Macaca mulatta: one gene and its partners. The protein of the gene in region 1 interacts with the protein of each later gene in a pairwise test. Links are inferred from orthologs where the notes say so. Each region holds a gene or a part of one and is shown on either strand. Other genes may lie near its edges. The genes, in order: MYO5B, RAB11B, BNIP2, RAB25, TRIM54 and AMOTL2.

Region 1 (3,954 bases):
TTCCTTGGGTTGGGGCCTCTTCCTTGGATCGCTTAAAGCTCCCCAGTTGACTCTCATTGTGGAGGCGCCCACGGGAAGGCCTGCACAGGTGAATTACAACGGGATCTTGCGTTCCAGGTGGGATGCCTTTGAGAATCACCCTCTGAGGCTCCTAAACAACTGCCCCGGCTGGTATAGATAGATCTTCTGGTGGAGAACCACTTTTCAGGGGCCACCCCTGGTTCAGGGACACATGCCACCTTCAGAAGGGAGTGTCTCGTCTGACAGCCCTGGTCTCCTTCCACAGACTCCTGGCAGTCTTTTTTTTTCTTGACTGAAATTTCTACTTTTCACTGGAAGTAGGAAAAGAGCTGAAGTTGCTGTAGGCAGCCAAGTGCCATGGGCAGAGAGGGAACACAAATAAACGAGGTAGTGAGTGGCAGAAAGACCGGGAGTCTGCATGTAGGAGAGACGGGGGTTGGGAGAACGTGAGACTTCCCGGAAAAGCAAGAGCCCTCTGAGAGGAGTGGCCTGGAGTCTCCTTGGAGGCTGTGGGCGAAAGTGGCCAATATTTGTACAGAAGAAGTTACGACTCCCACCTTTCTGACGGATTTCCGCGCAGAGAGTTCAGTTTGAAGGAGAAGATCCTTGGTGTACGTATGTCCAGGTCGCCTTAATAACGATCTACGAGTAACTGAATTTTAATGAAAGCGCTGAATACAGCCAGGTAAAATCGAGGGCAACGTCCGGGGCCTTCCAGCCATAGAAGTTTCTCTCTTTTCCCCGCTCTCTGGTTAGTTCCTCTCCCCTTTTCTTGTGTGCACCGCGTGCGTGCCGGACTCCGCCGGGCCGGGTGCGGGTGGAAGAGCAGGTGCTGGCACCGGGGCGCACCTGTGCCTGCGCGTGCGGCGTCCAGCAGGGGGCGGCCCGCGCCGGTCCCCGAGCTCCGCTCTGAGCGCCCCGCCCCCGGCCCGGAGGCCCAGGTGGCAGCGGGGGCGCGGGAGGGCGCGTCGGGCCGGGCACCGGCAGGGCTCAGAGGCGCGGCGGCGCACGGGCAGTCCGCTCTGACGCGCGCGGGTCCTCCCTCCTCGCCGGCCCTCGCCTCCTCCCTACACCTGGGCGGGGAGCGGCGTCGCGCTGCCTCCTCCCCCGGCGCTCGCAACTCCTGTCCGGCCGCTGCTGCGCCGCCGCCGCAGGAGTAAAGGTCGCGCCGCCGGGAGCGAGCCGGCCGCTGTGCCTCCGGGAAGCCGGCGGGGCAGATCGGAGAAGAGCGAGAAGATCGAGAAACTCCAGGCCAGCCCAGGAACATGGCGCCAGGCGGGCCGGCCGCGGACTGAGAGCCGCGGTGCAACGGGGAGCCGGGGCTTGAGCCCCGCCCAGCCCGGGCCATGTCGGTGGGCGAGCTCTACAGCCAGGTGAGCGCAGCCGCGGGAGAGGCGCCGCGGGGCCGGGGCGGAGCGCTCGGGGCCACCTGGCACTCAGGGTCGCCTTCTCCCTCGGCTACTGGAGGCGGGAGGTGACGGGAGACCCCTCCTGGTGTCCCCCGCGTCTCCGTCCTCGGCGTCCCTAACTTCTGTTGGCGGAGAAAGTTTAGCGGTTCCGGGAACGCCCGCACTGACCGGCCGCCCGGCTCCTGGAGATTCCGCAGCGCCACGGCTCAGCCCCAAGCCGGTGCTGTCGCCCCCTCCCCGCCGCGCCCCTCACTTTCGTTGCCTGGGCTGGGTTCCAGCTGAGTTCCCCGAACCGCGGGGGCGACTCTGCCAGCTCTGAGCGCCGTGCTCGGACGGTCCCCCGCGGTGCGCCCGCCGCTGTCCCCTGTCCCCGCCGTGGACCCCGCCCCAGGGGTTCTGCGGCGCCGGCTCTCGAGGGTTCGCCTCCGAGGCGTCCTTTCCTCACGCATACCCACAACAGGGAACCCTGGACTTGGGAGAGGTGGGGGTTCTGGACTTGGTGGAGAGGGAGGAGACTCAACCTGGCGTGAGGGCGCGGCAGCTGGATGGAGTGGGGGTAAGCGATGGGTAGAGGGGTGCTCCGTTATCTCCGGAGACCCCAGGGAAGAGCATTGTGAATTTGCTGGGGATGGGTATTTTGACGCGGCCCCTCTGGTACCAAGAGAGCTTCAGTGACTGTGGGGAAGGGGGTTGGAGTAAAGCCGAACTGGGAGCAGGGTGTGAGTTTCAGGATGCCTTCAAGGTCAGAAGGGATGTGCGAGGCTGGGTGCTCCGAATCCGGAACAGGTGCAGCCTGGGCGGAGACGCCCGCGTTCCGCAGCAGTTGCTGTGGTTAAAGTTAGGGACGAGCCACCGCTTCCAGGGGAGCTGGAGGCAGCGCTGCAGCCGTCCGGGACCCCTCAAGTTTCACCCTGGAGTCAGGAGTGAGATGGGCAAAGGCCTTTTCTTCACATGTGCCCTTTAGGAAAACAAGTTTTGGATAGTCCAATGCCTGGTTTTCCTGTTCATCTTCTTGGGTGGCCAAAACACATACGACAGTGCCTGTGCACACGCCTCCGTGCAGAGTTGTGTGTGCGTGTGGTGTCCGCGCGCGTTGTGTGGGTGTGCGATTCCCGGGACACCTGCCCGGGCCATCAGGTCTGGGCTGGGTAGGAACAGTCACTTCTGCGTCCTTACCTGGAGAGCACTCGCGGCTGTCCAGCACATGTGGGGGAGCCCTTCTGCTCCGTGAACTGGCAACCCTTCTAAGTTTGAGGAATTTTAAACTCTCGCCTTCCTCCTGGAGCGGGGAGCAGGGCCGGGATGGGTTCACGCTCATGAAGGTGGCCGCGGAGGCTGTCACCTGGCTGGGGGTGGGGACGCAGCAGCCTCAGATACTACTTCCTAGCCCACCAGGGACCTCCTGTGCAGCGATCAGGGATGGGCGACGGCCTCTGGGGGAGGAGGGGAGGAGGCGAGGAGGCGAGGAGGCGGGAGCCAGGGCGTCAACTCTGTGGCAGTCCTAGGCTTGGAATGGCACTCCACCCCTCTTGGCTGTGGAGGTATTGGGAGGATCCCTAAAAGCTCAGGTTTTTTCCCTGAAGCCGGTTAGGTTTCAGGAGCTGGGACTGGAGGCTGGAAGCCAGTGAAGGCAGGGGAAAAATCTGAACTGGAGTGCTCAAAGCCGAAGCTTTGTTACATTAAAGTGCATGGAGATGCAAATTGTACTCCTAAGTAAAAGGAATGACTCAACTGAATATACCTCCAATGTGTCAAAGTCCTTTGTCAGGCAATATTGAATTGCTGTTATTATATGAGGGGGAGAGTTTGTGGGGTAAAATGGAGTTAAAAGTTTAAAAATATAAACTTTATTTCTCAACGCAATTTCCATCAAGGTCAAGACACTTTTGAAAGTTATACCAGCCACCTAGTTCGTCCCTAAAGAACCGAGGGTCCTGGGAATTTAACCATGCCAATGCAGTCTTACATTATTAACTGGAAAAGATGCAGGTCATTAACTTCGAGATTAGGACACAAAGTCAGAAGGAGCCAAATCAGGACTGTGAGGTGGACGCCTAATAGTTTTCCGTAGAAACTCTTGCAAAATTGCTCTTCTTTGAGAGGAATGAGGAGCATTGTTGTGGCAGAAAATGACTTTTCTGGTGACGTTTCCTTGGTGTTTTTCTGCTAAAGCTTTGACTTCCTCAAGACACTTGTAATAAGCAGATGTCATCATCATTTGGTCTTCTAGAAAGTCAAGCAAAATGGCTTGAGCAGTCCTCCAAAATGCTGCTATGATCTCTGCTCTGAACCAGTCCACCTTTGCTGTGACTGGACCTCTTTCACCTCTTGGAAGTCTTTGCTTTGATTGGGCTTTGTCTTCAGGATTATACTGGGAGAGCCACATTTCATCCCCTGTTACAATTCAAAGAAATGCTTCAGGGTCTTGATCCCACTTGTTTAGAATTTCCATCCAAAGCTCTGCTCTTGTCTGCAATTGATCTGGGTGCAGCAGTTTTGGTATCCATCAAGTGGGAACTTTGCT
Region 2 (3,986 bases), on another chromosome or scaffold:
CTGTAATCCCAGCTAATCAGGAGGCTGAGGCATGAGAATCGCTTGAACCCAGGAGGCAGAGGCTGCGGTGAGCCGAGATCTCACCATTGCACTTCAGCCTGGGCAACAAAAGCAAAACTCCTTCTCAAAAAAACAAAACAAAACAAAAAACTGTCATAATTATTTCACTGGGTACATGTATATCAAAACAGCACGCTGTACGCCCTAAATACATAAAATAAAACAAACACATATTGTATTGTCAGGTAGTGATAAATCCTATCACTACCTGACAATACGGCAGTATGTGTTTTATTTTCTATATTACCTATATTTTACCTATGTGGTAAAATATTGGATAAAGAGGGGTAGGGGTAGGAGGTCCTGTTGGAGAGCATCGGTGCCCAATAAGGATTTGTAAGTATTTATTAAACAAAGAAAAGCAGAAAGTGGACGGTTGATTCACTCTTGGTGCAAGCCACCACGCTCGGCTAATTTTTGTATTTTTAGTAGAGACAGGGTTTCACCATATTTGTCAGGCTGGTCTCGAACTCCTGACTTAGTGATCCGCCCGCCTCGGCCTCTCAAAGTCCTGGGATTACAGGCGTGAGCCACCGCGTCCAGCTGATCTGGTTATTTTCAAAAGATTCCATGAGGTGGGTTTCTTCAGTTTACAGAGGAGAAAACTGAGGCATAGAAGGATAACCCAGTGAGTCCCAAAATAGAGATGGAAACTACAACCGACAAAGGGGACCCAGCGCTGAGGTCCCCGGAAATGATCATTTATGGGATTGGGGGGGCGAAGCCAGGGCAGCGCTCGCTGACCTATGACGTCATCGGGACGTTAAGAATCTTAGCATCACCTGGACGTACCCCCATTTCCCTTCCCGGACAGGTCCTCTGATAGTCGGCTAGGTTCTCAATCCAGCCTCTCATTGGTTAGTTGGTCTGTCATTCCACTTCATTCCTGCAGCCTTCCGCCCCGCCCTCTTAAGCTCGCCTCTAATAGGCTGTCGCGACCGTCACTTCAAAAAGGTCCGCATTCCTTCCGCCTTTCTCCAGGACACCGAGGGCGAGGAGGGTGGATACCAAGCGGCGCCCACCCTCAGAGCACTACTTCCATCTCTGATTGGCTCCGCTAGGTGCCAGTCGCTACCCCACCCGCCGCTGATAGGCCATTCAACGGCCGTTCTGCGCGGCGCCGGCTCCGCCCCCGTCGAGTGTTTGTGGTGGGGCTGCGGAGTTGCCGATCCCGCCGGAAGCGCCAGGACAATGGGGACCCGGGACGACGAGTACGACTACCTATTCAAAGGTGCGGCCGGTGGGGCACAGACGGGCTAGGGCGTTGCGGCGAGGCGGCGGGCAGACGGGCCAAGGCCGCGCTTCAGGCCGCTGGGCCCAGTCCGGAGCCCGGGGCTTGGGGCCCGGCGGGTCAGGCAGCCGGGAAGGCCGGGGCCGACCGGGCTCCATCAGCTTCGAGCTAGGATTCGCGGCCATGCGGAGCCAGAGGCCCGGAGAGACCTGGGGGACCCAGGATGCGCTGGGGCGGGGCTGGGGCCTAGCGGGGGTGGGGCCCGGAGCGGTGGGAGAGGCCGTTAGGGCGGGGCCTCCGGAGGGGGTGGAGCCTTCCCAGGATTTGGCGGGCCGGGCTGGGCTGAAAGCGTGGTTCGGAATGGGGGCGGGGTTTTAGAGGCGGGCTAAGGCTGATGGGTGTGACGAATAGGTGGGTTGGGCCTGGTAAGTGGGGGCGGGGCTCACGAGGCCAGTCCTGATTGGGTCAGCATGTTTGGGGGTGGGGCCCGGGATAGGCGGGGCAGACAATGGGGGCTGGGCCGAGATGAGGGCCTGGGGGTGAGGTGTGTGGTGGTGGGAGTCTTGGATTGGGGTGCAGAGCTGGGATTGAGTGGAAAGGTATCCGTGTGTGCAGCAAGAATTCCATCTCTTCACTTAGCACTCTCAACGGCGCTAAGCCAGTACCTGCACTTTTCTGAGCACTTTACGCAAACGAACTTAAATCCTCACTGCAGCCCTTTGAGGTTGATATTAACCAGCCTCTCTTTTTACACATTGGGAAACTGAAGCCCAGAGTGACAAAGACACAGTTTATAAAGTGTTGGAGCCCGATTGAGCGCAGGCCACCTGTGGGCTTTACCACTTAGGAAGCGTGTCTTAAGGGGCTTGTGGCCAGCATCTAGGACTTGGGGTTGTTAGACCACCTTCTTCCAACGTGCGCACTGATGGCCGGGGCCCCAGCCAGCCTGTTGGAGGGTCTTCCCCGCCCGAGAGACTGAGGGGGCTCTAGGAACATCAAATAAAGCCTAGTCAGATCAGGCAGCCATTGCCCGGTCTGCTGGAAGAAGCTGGAGTCCCTTGTTTCTCAGCTGAGCCTTCTATGCCCAGCTAGACTTTCGCCTAGTCGTCTGCCCTGGTTGCTGGGCTCCCTGGCTGACAATGGCAGCCCTTGAGGGTTAACCCCTGGATCCAGGGTGCCTTCACCCTGCAGCCTGCTCTATAAGGGCCTGCGTCCCACATCAGCTGTTGGTATCCTCGCCTCGCTGAGCCGTTCCTCCGAGCGTGCTCTGTGACTTGCACCAGGCCTAGCTGGGCCTTGCGTCTGGTCTCATCCAGCGTCTTGTGGTTGTGGGGAATGGGCAGAGGTCTCCCCACCTGAGCTGTCCGTGAGGCGAAAGCCTTCGGTGGAGAGGGAGAGGAAGTGTCTCTGCAAGACTCTGAAGTCGTCCTGCGGCACTGAGGGCTCTGGCAACTGCACACAGGTTGATAATATCACTGGTGGGTGAGGCTCTGTGGCTGGCAGGTGCCAGGCCCCAGGTCTCGCCCTCATGGCAGGAGGAAGCTTTGGAAGGGTTTTGGGGACTGGGATTCTAAGGGGCCATCTGGAGACAGGGGGACCAAACTTTGGGTTCTGCTGGGCGGGTGCCATCTCCACTCAGCCCTTCCTGAGGCAGCTGCTCTCAGGTCCTGGCTGGGCACCCACCCAGATGTGGCACTGCCAGGGCAGGGAGTGTTGCTCCCCACGTGCCCTGTCCAGGTTTCTGTGGTTATCCCCTGCTTGTTATTTTCGCCCTTTTGCTGTTTTAAATGACCCCAGCTCCGAGTGTTTGCCCAAGTCATGATTTTGCCCTTTGGGTTATTTCCTTGAAGTACATTCCCAGCAGAACAGTTACTGGGTCAGGAGCAACGGAGAGGCTGTGTGGTCCCGGGACCCGTCTGCAGAGACTGCCTCCTGGAAACACTGATCTAGCTCCTGCGGCAGCTGCCATTTGGCAGGCGGGCGGGCAGTGTGGGGGGGGGGGCCTGCCCTGCTGCCCTCCCCACACTGGCCTCCTTTTACTGAGTCTAAGCAGGTGCCCTGCTGACCTTCTCAAGCCAGTTGGTAGCAAAAATCTAACGCACAAGGTCAGCCTTTCCCAAACTGGTCATCTGCCGTCTCACCTTCACAGCTGTGCCTCATCAGAAGACCTCCTCTATTCTTTTTCAATATTTGTCTTTCTTTTTCTGTTTCCTTTCTTTCTTTTCTTTTTTTTTTTTTTTTTTTGAGACAGAATTTCACTCTAGTCACCCAGGCTGGAGTGCAGTGGCGCAATCTTGGCTCACTGCCACCTCCGCCTCCCGGGTTCAAACGATTCTCCTGCCTCAGCCTCCCGAGTAGCTGGGATTACAGGCACCCACCACCATGCCTGGCTAATTTTTGTATTCTTAGTAGAGACGGGGTTTCACCATGTTGGCCAGGCTGGTCTCGAACTCCTGATCTCAGGTGATCCACCTGTCTCGGCCTCCCAAAGTGCTGGGATTACAGGCATGAGCCACCACACCTGGCCTCTGCCTTGTTTTTTTTTTTTTTTTTTGGTGGCCACATCACGCACTGGCTCCCTTGACCTCAGCGGCCGAGGCCAGCAGATCCCCCGGGTGATGCCCTGTGTGCTGTTTGTTTTCCTCTGTGAATGTTCTTTCCTTCCCCCAGGAACGACACTGTTGATTTGTACCTA
Region 3 (3,500 bases), on another chromosome or scaffold:
TTTAGATATTAAGCCCATATTTAGTAGCAAATACTTCTGCTTTAACCTTCATTTCTATTGTTTACAAATTTGCATTTGAAAAGATTTGAACATTTCAAGAACATCAGAATCTTCACTACCTTTCTTAATCACTCAGTCACAAAATATATTAAGTGTGATAATGCAGTAAGATAAGGTGGTCTTATTTTCCCCTATAAAAAAGTGCTATTTCTGAAAGAGATTGAAGCCATAAATCAGGCCTTATAATTTGATTCCAGTGAACTAGCTGAATAATATACGTCTGTGGACTTCCTGATCCAGATTATGCCATTTTCTTCATCTGAGTATGATTAAATTAGGCAGAAGAATGCAACTACAAATATTCATGTGATTTGCTTTCAGATGAATGAAGACTGTAGAAATAAGCAGGGGAATGCATCTGGCATTAAAGTAAGTGGTAAATTAAGTGGAAATGACTCCGAAAAAAAATCAATCTGCTTGACCCATGTGCCACTCTGTCCTGTGTTAGGAGGATTTAAGGTAGTGTGACATGCTCTACAGTGAGTTGTGTTCTGACTTGCCACTAACATTCTAGCACTATTTACAATGTGCCTAGGTAAACTTCTATATATGGTACTGTTAGATTCACAGGATTTGTAACTTAAACTTTTATAGCTTTTCCTGTTTCTTAAGGGAAGGGACTTAAGCCTTGTATTTTTGTATATCCCATAAGTATGGAAAGTGGGTACTCTATAAAAATGTGGAGTGAATGAGCTCTCTATTAAAAAATAATTTGGGCTGGGCGCTGTGGCTCATGCCTGTAATCCAGGCAATTTGGGAGGCTGAGGCGGGTGGATCACAAGGTCAGGAGTTCAAGACCGGCCTGGCCAATATGGTGAAACCCCATCTCTACTAAAAATACAAAAATTAGCCGGGCATGGTGGTGCGTGCCTGTAGTCCCACCTACTTGGCAGGCTGAGGCTGGTGTATTGCTTGAGCCTAGGAGGCAGAGGTTGCAGTGAGCCAAGATTGCGCCACTGCACTCCAGCCTGGGTGACAGAGCGAGACTCCGTCTCAAAAAACAAAACAAAACAAAAAAATTAAAAAAAGGAAAAAAAAAATTTGTTCAGGATTTTAAGGCACATTAAGAGTTAAGGTTAAAAAGTCTAAGTTTTAGGGCTGGGCACAGGGGCTCAAGCCTGTAATCCTAGCACTTTGGGAGGCTGAGGTGGGCAAATCATGAGGTCAGGTGATCAAGACCATACTGGCTAATACGGTGAAACACTTTCTCTACTAAAAATATAAAAAATTAGCTCGGGTGGTGGCATACGCCTGTAATCCCAACTACTCGGGAGGCTGAAGCAGGAGAATCCCTTGAACCAGGGAGGCAGAAGTTGTAGCGAGCTAAGATCACGCCACCGCACTCCAGCCTGGGTGATGAGCAAGAGTCCATCTCAAAAACAAAAAAAAAGTCCAAGTTTTACTTATATCCATAAATGACTTCTAAAAGAATGCTCAAAGCGGTTTTGTTTATAATAGCCCAAGCTGGAAACAACTCACATGCACATCAAAAAAAAAAAGAATGGATAAGCAAATTATGGTTTATCCATGCAATGGAAAACTACTCCCCAATAAGAAGGAATGTAATGTGGATACATCAACGACATGGATGAATCTCCAAAACTTCATACTGAAAAGTAAACAAAAGAGTGTACAGGATGATTTCAGTTACTACATATGAAATTCTAGAACAGGTAAAACTAATCAGGCGGTAGATATGACAGTGGCTACCAAGGTGAGGATTCACTGGGCAGGGGTATTAAAGAATTATTCTGGGACAATGAAAATGTTCTATATGTTTAGGGGTGTGGGTTATATATATGGGAATATACAGTTATATGGGCATTTGTCAAAACTCATTGAATTGTACACTTAAGATCAGGGCATTTCACTGTTTATAAATTATGGAGAAAGTACAGTCCCAGTTTTGGGTAGCCTAGAGACAGCTAAAAAAAAATTTCTTTTTAAAATTTTGAGACAGGGTCAAAAAACAAAAAACAAAACAAAACAAAACAAAAAACTGGAGTGCAGTGGCATGATCACGGCTCACTGAAGCCTCAACTTCCCAAGCTCGAGCTCTCTCTCCTCCCACCCCAGCCTCCTAAGTAGCTGAGACTACAGGCGTACACCACCATTCCTGGCTTTTTTTTTTTTTTTTTTTTTTGGTGGAGACAAGGTCTATGTTGCCCAGGCTGGTCTTAAACCCCGGGGCTCAAGTAATCCTCCTGCCTCAGCCTCCCAAATTGCTGGGATTACAGACCTGAGCCACCATGCCCAACCTGACAGTTTTCACTACAAATTCTTTTGTACTTTTTCAACTTAGTGTAGGTATATAATCATTTTTAAATGGTACTTTTGGCTGGGCGCAGTGGCTCACGCCTGTAATCCCAGCACTTTGGGAGGCTGAGGCGGGTGGATCACAAAGTCAGGAGATCAAGACCAGCCTGGCTAACACGGTGAAAACTCGCCTCTACTAAAAATACAAAAAAATTAGCTGGGCTTGGTGGTGGGCACCTGTAGTCCCAGCTACGCGGGAGGCTGAGGCAGGAGAATGGTGTGAACCCAGGAGGCGGAGCTTGCAGTGAGCCAAGATCACGCCATTGCACTCCAGCCTGGGCCACAGAGCGAGACTCCATCTCAAAAGCAAAAAGAGAAAAAAATGGTACTTTTCTTCTTTTACTTCAAACCTATCATGTTTCTAAAATGATATGATAAATGCTTATTATTCTTTCAAAATTACGTAATATCTCTAGGCAGAGTTTCTAAAACTATTGAGAATTCTGATACCACATTAAACAATTTGAAAAATGTTCAGTAACTCTTACCCCCATGGCTGATAACTTTTTTATAGGGTTCAATTGCCTTCATATCAACTCTGTGGTCCTGTTCTCCAATCCTGAACATACGCCAGCGTCGTCCATCTTCTTTTTCCTCTGCTGCTGTATATTCAGCAATTGAGCCTTTCCTAATTACTTCAGTAGTCTTGGGTTTTGGAAGATCATCTGTCAAAATAAAAAGTTTTTCAATCACCAATTGTTACACAATAAAAATCAAATTATACGTTAACCACTTTACTATCTAGATTTTACAGAGAATTTTCATTATACCATCTGTGCAATTTTAAATATCTCTTCCATAATGCAGGAAAAGGCTTATTCTTAACATGAGGCCATTTTATGTCTTTGGAAATCATGGTTAACTTTTTTTATTGCCCAATTTAGCAAAAACCACCTAATCATAGTGGTTTATATCATATATCCACAAGTTCAGAAAATATAATTCATAGAGTCATCAAAATCTTAGTACATGTGCCTTACAATGCCTTTCCAGATTCAACTTGTGACAATATTCTCCCTGGCAGTTATGACTATAGGTTACTTCAAGTAGCTATCTGGGAGCCAATTTTGTTGTTGTTGAGCACATAAATTAACTGTAATACCAGATAGGAAGTGGTTAACTAC
Region 4 (3,500 bases), on another chromosome or scaffold:
CCCAATTTATTGATGAGTCCACTGAGGCTCATGAGAGATCAGGTAACGAGGAGCGTGTGTAACCAAAGCCCCTGACTCTTGCTTCCTGCCCCCTGGCAAACAGACCCCATTTCACATGCTTAGGCCTCACACTGACTGAAAGACACTTTTTTTTTTTTTTTTTTTTTGAGAACGAGTCTCACTTTTGTCGCCAGACTGGAATGCAGTGGCACGATCTCGGCTCACTGCAACCTCCACCTCCCAGGTTTGAGTGATTCTCCTGTCTCAGCCTCCCGAGTGGTTGGGATTACAGTCACCTACCACCACACCTGACTAATTTTTGTATTTTTAGTAGAGATGGGGGTTTCACTATGTTGGCCAGGCTGGTCTCGAACTCCTAACCCTGTGATCTGCCCGCCTCAGCCTCCCAAAGTGCTGGAATTACAGGTGTGAGCTGCCGTGCTCAGCTGACACTTTTTTCTTGAGACACAGTATCGCTTTGTCACCCAGGGTGGAGTGCAGTGGGGCGATTTCGGCTCACTGCAACTTCCGCCTCCCAGGTTCAAGCCATCCTCCCGCCTTAGCTTCCCGAGTATCTGGGACTACGGGTACGCACCACCAAGCCCAGCTAATTTTTTATATTTTTGGTAGAGACAGGATTTCGCCATGTTGCCCAGGCTGGTCTCGAATTCATGAGCTCAAGCAATCCACCCACCTTGGCCTCCCAAAGTGCTGGGATTACAGGTGTGAGCCAACACACCCGGCCTAAGAGTCACTTTGGATGTGGTGTCAGGAGGCCTAACCTCCTATGTGTCCTCTGAGTCTTCATAAAATGCAGATGGCAGGTTCAGCTTTTGGCCATCTGTGGTTAGATGAAAGTTGCCAAGTGCAGAGCATTGTGCGGAAGTGAGGGGGCGCTCTCGATCCGTGCAGCTTGCCCCCATCCCAGTTCCACCCTGATTTCACCTTGCTTGTATTTATACAGAAATTAATTAATTATAGCACTTTACTCTTGTGGTACTTTAAGGGTTACATAAAATGCCAAATGTAAAGTGCCTTGTCCCTTCCTGGGCACATAGCAAAGGCTTAGTAAGTGGCAATGATTCCTGCTTTTAGTAGTACTAGTCAGTATTACTATATCCTGGCTTGTGCTGGTTCTGTTTACAGTACCTTTTATCTTCTGTGATCTCCACCCCCACCACCCAGAGCCCACTGCTGAGCCCCCTTGCCTCCTCCACCCCAACTTCTCCTCCAGAAGTGTTCCTTGACTTCCCCAGAACTCCCACTACCCAGCAGCCCCCCAGGCCCGGGCTCACGCCGAGGTGATGGCTCGGTACCGCTCCAGGCCAGCTGTGTCCCAGATCTGAGCCTTGACAGCAGCGGTGCCCAACATCACAGTGCGGGTGGAGAACTCAACCCCGATGGTGGTGCGGCTGTCGTGGCTGAACTCATTGCGCGTGAATCGGGAGAGTAGATTGGTCTTCCCCACACCTGATTCGCCGATCAGCACCACTGAAGGAGTGGAGAGATAAGGGCTGAGCATGGGGTAGAGCAGCTCCAAGCCCACCTGAGCTTGCAGGGTCTGCCCAGCAGAAAAAGGGAACTGAGCTCAGAAAAAAGATTAGGGAACGGAGTCTCCTGTGAGACTGGAGTCTGCAACTCAGCATAGTGCATCTGTCCCGGTGGGCAGAAAAGCCAAGAGTTTAAAACAAAGGGGCTTGACGGGTTATAGCCTGGTCTGTTGAGATATGGTTGCAGAGTCAGCCTGCATCTCTAGTGAGGGAGTGACATCTGTGGGCTGTTTATGAGTGTCATGCGGAGACATTACTGTTGAGTGTGAATATGGACAGGGATGGTTGGAGGTCGGGGGGTGCACAGTTCTGGACTAGGACTAGGAGTATGAGAACATTGTGCTTGTCTCTATATGTATGAGCCGGGAGGACAAGTGGGAGGTTTGGTGTGTGTGTTTGCATAATGAACAGAGGTGTGAATCGAAGTGTGGGTAAGGAGAAAGTTTGGCAGTTGACACATCTGTGGGTGAAAGGAAGGCATGTGTGCTCATGTGTGTGTAAAAAGTTAGGTTCCAGTTGTCCCTAAGGAGGGGCAGTCCCACATGGTTAAGAGCATGGGACTGGGTGTTAGACCAGCTATGTGTCCTTCAGCAAGTTATTTAACCTCTCTGAGCTGTCCTTTTCATGTGAAAAATGGGGAAGACATTAGTATCTACCTTAAGGGTTGTTGTAGGAAGTAAGTGAGACGTTGCCCAGGATATAGTAAGTGTAAAAATCATGACTGGTACGATTGTTCTTAGCAGGCCAGAGTTTTTGCCTTTGGGTTTTCAGAGACAAAGGATTCACCGGAGGGGCCATGAAGACCCTTTAGCCTGGTGGGCAGCATCCAGGGCCCAGTCTTACCCACTGTGGATGAGCTGGGGGCTGGGGTAGCGTGTAGGGGGCTGATGTAAGTATAGCCCACAAATTGCACTGGCACTGAGCTGAGCACACAGAATTAGAGGAGGCCACCCAGAGTGGTTCTGGAAAGGCAGGCTGGCACCCAAGGACTGGGAGCCACATACTGTGGGCTCTGGTCCCTGCTCAGCTTCTAACTAACTGTGTGAACTTGAACAAGTGACTCACCTTTTCTCAGTCTCAGTTTCCTTGCTTATATAACCTATAAAGGCCTCCTCCAACTTTAAAAGTTTCTTGGCTGGGTGTGGAGGTTCACACCTGTAATCTCAGCACTTTGGGAGGCCAAGGCAGGAGGATCTCTTGAGCCCACGAGTTTGAGACCAGCCTGGGTAACATGGTGAAACCCCATCTCTACAAAAAATACAAAAATTAGCCAGGCATGGTGGCATGTGCCTGTAGTCTCAGCTACTTGGGAGGCTGAGGTGGGAGGATTGCTTGAGCCCGGGGGGTGGAGGTTGCAGTGAGCCGAGTTTGTGCCACTGCACTCCAGCCTGGGTGACAGAGTGAAACCCCAACTCAAAAAAAGAAAGAAAGAAAAAAAAATTAGCCAAGTGCGGTGGCAAGTGCATGTAGTCCCAGCTACTCAAGAGGCTGAGGTGGAAGGATTGTTTGAGCCCTGTAGGTTGTGGCTACAATGAGCTGTGATGGCATCACTGCACTCCAGCCTGGGCGACAGTGAAATTGGGTCTCAAAAAATAAAAATAAAAAAATGTATATCTAAACATTCCTTATTTGTGTAGGACAGTATGGAAAAGCTGGAAATAATATTGGATATGTGTCGGTAAGAGGATGTGTGTGTGTGTGTGTGTATGTGTGTGTGTGTTCCTGCCTCTCCCCTACTGGGCACATCCCCATCCCATCCCTCTCAGTGGGTGGGCTCTCAGCCCTAGCTTCATACCCCAAAGGTGCTTAGGGCAAGGGCATTGAAGTCAGACTTTGTGGCCTTTTGTAAACTACTTTGCCTCTAAGCCTCAGTTGTAAAGTGGAGATACTAATGGTTCATATTTACAGTGTACTGAATGCTTACTATGTGCCAGGCAGTGTCCTTAAAAG
Region 5 (3,500 bases), on another chromosome or scaffold:
AAAGGGGAGGAGCAGGGCATGCCCCTCCCTTGAAAGACGGTTTATGCAATTTCCTACAAATTACACGAAACATTTGCATATACATTCCAGAGCACAGCCAACTGGCCACACCCAGTTGGAAGGGAGGCTTAGATTCACGGTTTTCGTTTGTTTGTTTTTTTGAGATGGAGTCTGCCTCTGTTGCTCAGACTGGAGTGCAGTGGTACTATCTCAGCTCACTGCAGCCTCCGTCTTCTGGTTTCAAGCAATTCTCCTGCCTCAGCCTCCTGAGTGGCTGGGACTACAGGTGTGTACCACCGTGCCCAGCTAATTTTTTTATTTTTAGTAAAGATGAGTTCTTGCTATGTTGCCCAGGCTGGTCTCAAACTCCTGAGCTCAAGTGATCTGCCCACCTCGGCCTCCCAAAGTGCTGGGACTACAGGTGTGAGCCACCACACCCAGCCCTTTATACCATGTGTCTTGTTAAAACTCAGCGCCCTTATTATTAAAGAAGAAAAGGTGGTGAACGTCCGGGAACAATAAGCAGTGTCTGCCAGTCTTTCATCTCTGCATCTCCCCACGCATAGACTCTTTTCTCTGTAGACCAGCCTTCTCTGTTCAGAGTTTATGACCCCTCACACTTTCCAGGGTGGCCATGATGTCAGCTCTTAGCCCAATTCCACAGGTCTGTTCAGTTCGTAAGCAACACATGGTGCAGCCAGCTAAGCCCCTGAGTCTCAAGTGCAGATTCTTAGGAGAGAACATTTAATTGGTTCTGCTTGGGTCAGGTGATCACCTCCTTAGCTCTGAATCAGTCATCTGTGGCACGGATCTGTCTTCTAGGAGAGGATGGAGCAACTTCTCTAGGAAAGAGATGTAAGCGGGAGGAAGTGATGGGTGTCTGTTAAGTCCTCCTTCTGAACTTACCCCTGTCACAACACCCATCCTGCTGGATGCAGTTGTTGGGTGCTTGTCCTTAGAGCAGGATGCATTTTCCTTGTATCTTTAACTCAGAGTCTAGCAACTACCTGGCACACTATAAATGAATAATCTAATTTTATCCTCAGCTTTACAGAGGTTGAATACCTGCCTAAATTTATATAGTTAAGAGGTTGGGCATGGTGGCTCATGCCTATAATCTCAGCAATTTGGGAGGCCAAGGCGGGAGGGTCGCTTGAGGTCAGGAGTTTAAGACCAGCCTGGGCAACATAGTGATACTTCATCTCTACTAAAAATTAAAAAAATTATCTGAGCATGGTGGTACATACCTGTAGTCCCAGCTACTCAAAAGGCTGAGATGGGAGGATTGCTTGAGCCCAGGAGGTTGAGGCTGCAGTGAGCTGTGATCCCACCACTGTACTCCAGTCTGGGCATCAGAGAGAGACCCTGTCTCAAAAAAAAAAAAAAAAAGCATCAGAGAATTACCTGGCTAGTTACTGTTTGTGAGCCCCATTGTTGAGCACTTGTGTCTGCTGTACCCCTCCCCAGGACTGCAGAGAATCTCCCCCCAGATGTGGCTCAAGAGGGCCCCAGACTGGAAGACACTGGCCGCACCACTCAGAGTCCATTTCCTGCCTCAGCCTTATTGCCAAGGCCAATGTCTCCCCACAGCTCCAAGCTGGGCCCCTTTGGAGAGATCCCAGCCTGACTACACCTTTACCAAAGCTGGTCTCTAGATGCAGGGGCACTCTAGGAGGTGGGCTGAGTAATGAGGCAAAGGTGGGAAGCAGGGTCTCCATAGCCGTACACCCTGCGCTGCTCTCAGAGGTGGATCCAGCCACAGAGAAGAGCTGACATCTTCCCCTCTATCATATTCCTACTCCCTAGCCCCCAATCCCTTTCCCCCTGCCTCCTCCGAGTCCCTTCATGCCTCCCCGTGCCTGTTCTCTCAAGCCATCTGTCCCTGCAGGCCTCGAATCCTCTGTGGCAGTCCCGGGGCTCCACCACTGTGTCTTCAGGAGGCCGTTTCCGCTGCCCATCTTGCAGGCATGAGGTTGTCCTGGACAGACATGGTGTCTACGGCCTGCAGCGAAACCTGCTAGTGGAGAACATTATTGACATTTACAAGCAGGAGTCGTCCAGGTGAGCTGCCAGGGTCTCTTGCCTCTCTAAATGTCAGGGCTTGGGACACAGCCAAGGAACCCATCAGAGCCAGAAGGGAGAGACTGAAACCGTCAACCCACCTGTTCTGTCTAGAGACAATAGGACTGGATCCGGAGAGGGATTGCCTCAGGCCTCCCAGAGAGGGCAGTCCCTGATTCCCTAGCCAGTACTTCACTCCTACCCTCTCCTCCTGGGAGAGGCTGGCAGTCCACCAGCAAGATCCTCGCCAACCCTCCAAGACTTCCTGTCCTGTGGGACTTCCCTGCCCCCTGAAATACGGACTATTCTTGGATCCAGGCCTTCTCTATCTCTTAGCTCCTTCTATTCCCCAAACTCAGAGCTCTGTGGAAGTACTCACCAGTTCAGCCACAGCACTAGCTGCAGGGGTGGAGAAGGGGTGGTAGTTGGTGGAGGCTGAAGAGAAGGTGTTCCTAGGACCCTTCATGCTTAAGGTCCACCTCCCCCTGCCCACTCCTCTCTAGGCCGCTGCACTCCAAGGCTGAGCAGCACCTCATGTGCGAGGAGCATGAAGAGGAGAAGATCAATATCTACTGCCTGAGCTGTGAGGTGCCCACCTGCTCTCTCTGCAAGGTCTTCGGTGCCCACAAGGACTGTGAGGTGGCCCCACTGCCCACCATTTACAAACGCCAGAAGGTATCAAACAGGGGAGGGAGTAGATGTGTGGGAGATGGGGGCTTAGGACAGGGTCTCAATGTCAGCCTCTTATTCCACTTATCTTTTGTTTATTTCTTTATTTATTTAGAGACAGGATCTCACTCTGTTGCCCAGGCTGGAGTGCAGTGGCACAAACAGAACTTACTGCAGCCTTGATCTCCTGAGCTCAAGTGATCCTCCCGTCTTAGCCTCCCAGAACACTAAGATTATAGATGTGAGCCACTGCACTCAGCCCTATCTATTATCTATCTATCTATCTATCTATCTATCTATCTATCTATCTATCTATCTATTTTGAGATGGAGTCTCGCACTGTCACCCAGGCTGGAGTGCAGTGGTGCAATCTTGGCTCATAGCAACCTCAGCCTCCCGGGTTCAAGCCGTTCTTATGCCTCAGCCTTCCATGTACCTGGGATTACAGGTGTGTGCCACCACGCCCAGTTTTTTTGTTTTTTTGTTTTTTTGGTTTTTTGTTTTTGATTCCTGGCTTCATGTGATCTGCCCACCTTGGCCTCCCAACGTGCTGGAATTACAGGCGTGAGCCACTGTGCCCAGTTCCATTCATTTATTTTTGAAAAGATGTGGGGATCTCTGTCGCCCAGGCTGGGATGCACTGCTATGATTGTGATTCACTGCAGCAGCCTTGAACTCCTGGGCTCACGTGATCCCTACCACCTCAGTCTCCCGAGTAGCTGGAACTACAGGCATGTGCCGCCATGCCCAGCTTATTTATTTATTTATTT
Region 6 (3,500 bases), on another chromosome or scaffold:
CACCATATTGGCCAGGCTGGTCTTAAACCCCTGACCTCATGTCATCCACCAGCCTTGGCCTCCCAAAGTGCTGAGATTACAGGCATGAGCCACTGCGCCCAGCCACCAGCCAGCTTTTATATGCCTCCCTGAGATTGGGAGGAAAGATGGTTGCCCTAATCCATAGTGCTTAACCTCACTTTGGACTTCTGTGTAAACAACTCTTGGTGTTTACAAACCAAATAGCTATTTCTCCACTCCCAAACCTACCCTTGTGACAGAGTTAGCATGGCTGAACCCCCGGTTTGCCCAGTTCTGTTCTAATTTACACCAATTTTCCCAGTATAATTATTGATAGCACCCCCTTTGCCAGTTTGGAGGATTATTTGTTTGGTCTCTATGCCCTTGGCCATAGGATTCAGGGCAGGGGTATGGGGACCTGTGCTGTACCCCCATTTCGGTAGAGGAAGGATGGGGAAATGTATGCTGTGTATGGCCGAACACGCACATGTAAGAGTGACAGTCCTTGTGTGGAGGCGAAGACCAGTGGCTGCCGCACCCCAACCTCCACCCTTGACCACGGTCTCCACTCCTTGCTCTGCAGAGACAGGCAGGCACCCCAGGTGGTGGCAGTGGCAGTGGCAGTGGCGGGTCCCCAGAGCTCAGCGCCCTTCGGCTGTCAGAACAACTGCGCGAGAAGGAGGAGCAGATCCTGGCGCTGGAGGCCGACATGACCAAGTGGGAACAGAAGTATTTGGAGGAACGTGCCATGAGGCAGTTTGCCATGGATGCGGCTGCCACGGCTGCTGCCCAGCGTGACACCACTCTCATCCGACACTCCCCGCAGCCCTCGCCCAGCAGCAGCTTCAATGAGGGTCTGCTCACTGGTGGCCACAGGCACCAGGAGATGGAAAGCAGGTTCGGCATTGCAGGCCAGGCACCTGAGGTTTGGGAGGCGGGTGGCAATGTCCAGTCACTGCCCTGCCCTTGATCCCTGATAAACAAACCGCTTTCCCCACACAGCTCAGCAGTCCCTCAAGCAAGCTGAACCTGCATGCTTGGCACACCAGGCGCTGTAAACTTGCATTTGCCTAGAAATACCGAGTCCTTGGTCTACCCAGGAGACTCTTACTGTGGAGGTGTTGGGTGCCGTTTAGGGCTTAGGCCCTGCCTCCTCTCTCCGGAGTGCTGCCCTCCAGGATGAGGGCTGTGCCTCCACTATCATCTGATGACTCTGGAACCCACCCTTGATGGCCTGCCTTTCCTGGTGTGGGAAGGGCCCAGGGCCTTATGCACTGGTGGTTTTCAGAGCCTGGGCTCTAAGAGCATCACATGCCAGAGCTGTGGTACCATTTCTAAGCCCCCTCTAGGTCCCTGCTACAAGCACAGAAAGATCCAGCCTGGCCGGGTTAGGGGAGGGGGCGTGCTTTTCCTCTAACTCCTATGAGGCGGGAAGGGTGGCTGGATCTATGGGTCTGACAGTGTGGGCATGGCCTCTCACCCCTCAGGTTAAAGGTGCTCCATGCCCAGATCCTGGAGAAGGATGCAGTGATCAAGGTCCTTCAGCAGCGCTCCAGGAGAGACCCTGGCAAGGCCACCCAGGGCTCCCTACGGCCTGCCAAGTCGGTGCCATCTGTCTTCGTGGCTGCGGCAGCAGGAACCCAGGGCTGGCAAGGGCTCTCTTCTAGTGAGCGACAAGCAGCAGACGCCCCTGCTCGGCTGACTACAGGTAAGAGGAGGCTGCTGCTGGGATAGATTGAGAGGTAGTTTCTCCTGGGCCTGAACACAGATTGCCAGACCTTTCCTCCCAGAACTGAGGCTCATGGGAGCCAGGGCTTCCTGATTGTCTCCCAGGGGAGCTGGCTTATTCTCTACCTCCAGTGACTCTACAGCCCATGGCTCTCCTGCCAGTGTGAAGAGGGGTATTTCGTCCCCATCGCCGTAAATTCCATCATGCTTTAGCCCCAGCCACTGAACTGAGAAAAATAGAGCTTCCTGTGCAGATGCACCTTCTATGCAAGCCCCCTCCACTCTTCCTTCTAAGCAGATGCCACAGAAACTCTAGAAGATTTAATCTACAAAGAAGGGTCCCACCACCCAAAACATTTGGAAGCCAATCCAATCTGGTAGTCATTCCCATTTTAAAATAGGAGCATTTTTAGTCTTAAAGTTCTTGCAGATCAAGAGCAGCCCACTCCACCTTGAATCCCCAGCAAGGACAGTTAACTTACAGTGTCCTTCACCAGGGCCACATCTTACAGGTGTGGCAATAACCATCCACCTACCTTCCCAGCAGACAGGGCACCCACAGAGGAGCCAGTGGTCACACCTCCCCCTGCTGCCCATGCCAAACACGGGAGCAGAGATGGGAGCACCCAGACTGACGGCCCCCCAGACAGCACCTCCACCTGCCTGCCACCGGAGCCTGACAGCCTTCTGGGGTGCAGCAGTAGCCAGAGAGCAGCCTCTCTGGGTAAGTCCTCCTGACCCCACTTCTGTGCTAGGCAGGGCCAGGGGAGCACTAGGGTGTGAACTGGAACACCAAAGCCTTTTCTTCCCAACCCCCTCTGGGTCATTGCCTGTACTCCATGGGGAGCCCTGCATAGCCAGAGGTGAGCAGCGTGCCTGGCCCACCTCACTGTGAACATGAAGGGTGGCTGGCTGCATGAATAGGGAAATTGGAAACCCTGATTAGAGGCAGATCCAGAATTCAGAAAGAAAGCAACCAGATGGGAGGCACTTAAGCTCCTCTTTCATGGTCTTCCCTACATAGTTAATTTCCAATTTGATTATCCAAGAGAATGGAGTTTGCAAGTCATGCCGATGGCACTCTGGAAGCCTGTTGAGAGTCCGGGAAAGAGAAATCTGAGAAGATGCCATTTCTTTTTCCACTCCCCTTTCACACTGGCCTTTGCATATTTGCCTGTGCCTCCTGATCTCAGAAAACCACAGGCATGAAAAGAATGCTGCAGCCTCCCTCCCTCAGGCTCTCCATTGCTCTGTCTAAGCCCTCCAACCAGTTCAAAGTTAGAAACAAATGCATCTTACACATCGGAGGTTGGTGGGCTGGGCTGAGCACTGAGAGGGTGCAGAGCATTGTGCTTGGTTGGCCAAGTTCTGGGAACCTGGGCAGCAGAGGTGGGAAAAGTTGGTGAAGAAAGATCGTTGTATTTAAAATGTGCCAGGATTTTAAAAGCAATCTAGTAACACTCATTGGCATGTGCCTGTGTTCTTGTCTCTCTCCAGACTCTGTAGCTACATCCAGAGTCCAGGACTTGTCAGACATGGTGGAGATACTGATCTGAAGGAGGTGGTGCTTCAGGACTCTGAGCCATTCTCTCCCCTCCTCTGCCCTGTGCCACTCTCAGCCATTTCAGCAGCCTGTCAGCCGCTGCTTTGTCCCTTTCCCCAGCCAGACTCTCATTCCCATTGACCATCTGGCCCCAGGAGCTCAGGAGGAGGACCCCAGGGGAGAGGAGAACTGTGAGAGCACCAGCACCCCCAGAAGACTCTGCTTCTTA

Evidence for each region.
Region 2: the proteins of MYO5B (region 1) and RAB11B interact in binary tests that used the Homo sapiens proteins (3 or more experiments, as listed by UniProt). The link is inferred for Macaca mulatta from reciprocal best matches to the Homo sapiens genes MYO5B and RAB11B.
Region 3: the proteins of MYO5B (region 1) and BNIP2 interact in binary tests that used the Homo sapiens proteins (3 or more experiments, as listed by UniProt). The two-hybrid records come from large-scale screens. The link is inferred for Macaca mulatta from reciprocal best matches to the Homo sapiens genes MYO5B and BNIP2.
Region 4: the proteins of MYO5B (region 1) and RAB25 interact in binary tests that used the Homo sapiens proteins (3 or more experiments, as listed by UniProt). The link is inferred for Macaca mulatta from reciprocal best matches to the Homo sapiens genes MYO5B and RAB25.
Region 5: the proteins of MYO5B (region 1) and TRIM54 interact in binary tests that used the Homo sapiens proteins (3 or more experiments, as listed by UniProt). The two-hybrid records come from large-scale screens. The link is inferred for Macaca mulatta from reciprocal best matches to the Homo sapiens genes MYO5B and TRIM54.
Region 6: the proteins of MYO5B (region 1) and AMOTL2 interact in binary tests that used the Homo sapiens proteins (3 or more experiments, as listed by UniProt). The two-hybrid records come from large-scale screens. The link is inferred for Macaca mulatta from reciprocal best matches to the Homo sapiens genes MYO5B and AMOTL2.

Annotation. Positions count from the first base shown.
Region 1 is NC_133423.1:42,113,700-42,117,653, forward strand, and holds the start of MYO5B (unconventional myosin-Vb), read left to right. Parts: upstream 1-1,154; 5' UTR 1,155-1,367; coding exon 1,368-1,394; intron 1,395-3,954. UniProt on the Homo sapiens protein: May be involved in vesicular trafficking via its association with the CART complex. The CART complex is necessary for efficient transferrin receptor recycling but not for EGFR degradation.
Region 2 is NC_133424.1:9,236,658-9,240,643, forward strand, and holds the start of RAB11B (ras-related protein Rab-11B), read left to right. Parts: upstream 1-1,186; 5' UTR 1,187-1,251; coding exon 1,252-1,291; intron 1,292-3,506; exon of another isoform or gene 3,507-3,636; intron 3,637-3,986. UniProt on the Homo sapiens protein: The small GTPases Rab are key regulators of intracellular membrane trafficking, from the formation of transport vesicles to their fusion with membranes.
Region 3 is NC_133412.1:36,997,489-37,000,988, forward strand, and holds part of BNIP2 (BCL2/adenovirus E1B 19 kDa protein-interacting protein 2), read right to left. Parts: intron 3,042-3,500; coding exon 2,865-3,041; intron 1-2,864.
Region 4 is NC_133406.1:110,869,020-110,872,519, forward strand, and holds part of RAB25 (ras-related protein Rab-25), read right to left. Parts: intron 1,492-3,500; coding exon 1,296-1,491; intron 1-1,295. UniProt on the Homo sapiens protein: The small GTPases Rab are key regulators of intracellular membrane trafficking, from the formation of transport vesicles to their fusion with membranes.
Region 5 is NC_133418.1:97,686,157-97,689,656, reverse strand, and holds part of TRIM54 (tripartite motif-containing protein 54), read left to right. Parts: intron 1-1,888; coding exon 1,889-2,061; intron 2,062-2,564; coding exon 2,565-2,736; intron 2,737-2,845; coding exon of another isoform or gene 2,846-2,971; intron 2,972-3,500. UniProt on the Homo sapiens protein: May bind and stabilize microtubules during myotubes formation.
Region 6 is NC_133407.1:37,401,506-37,405,005, reverse strand, and holds part of AMOTL2 (angiomotin-like protein 2), read left to right. Parts: intron 1-583; coding exon 584-897; intron 898-1,487; coding exon 1,488-1,708; intron 1,709-2,272; coding exon 2,273-2,452; intron 2,453-3,225; coding exon 3,226-3,284; 3' UTR 3,285-3,500. UniProt on the Homo sapiens protein: Regulates the translocation of phosphorylated SRC to peripheral cell-matrix adhesion sites. Required for proper architecture of actin filaments.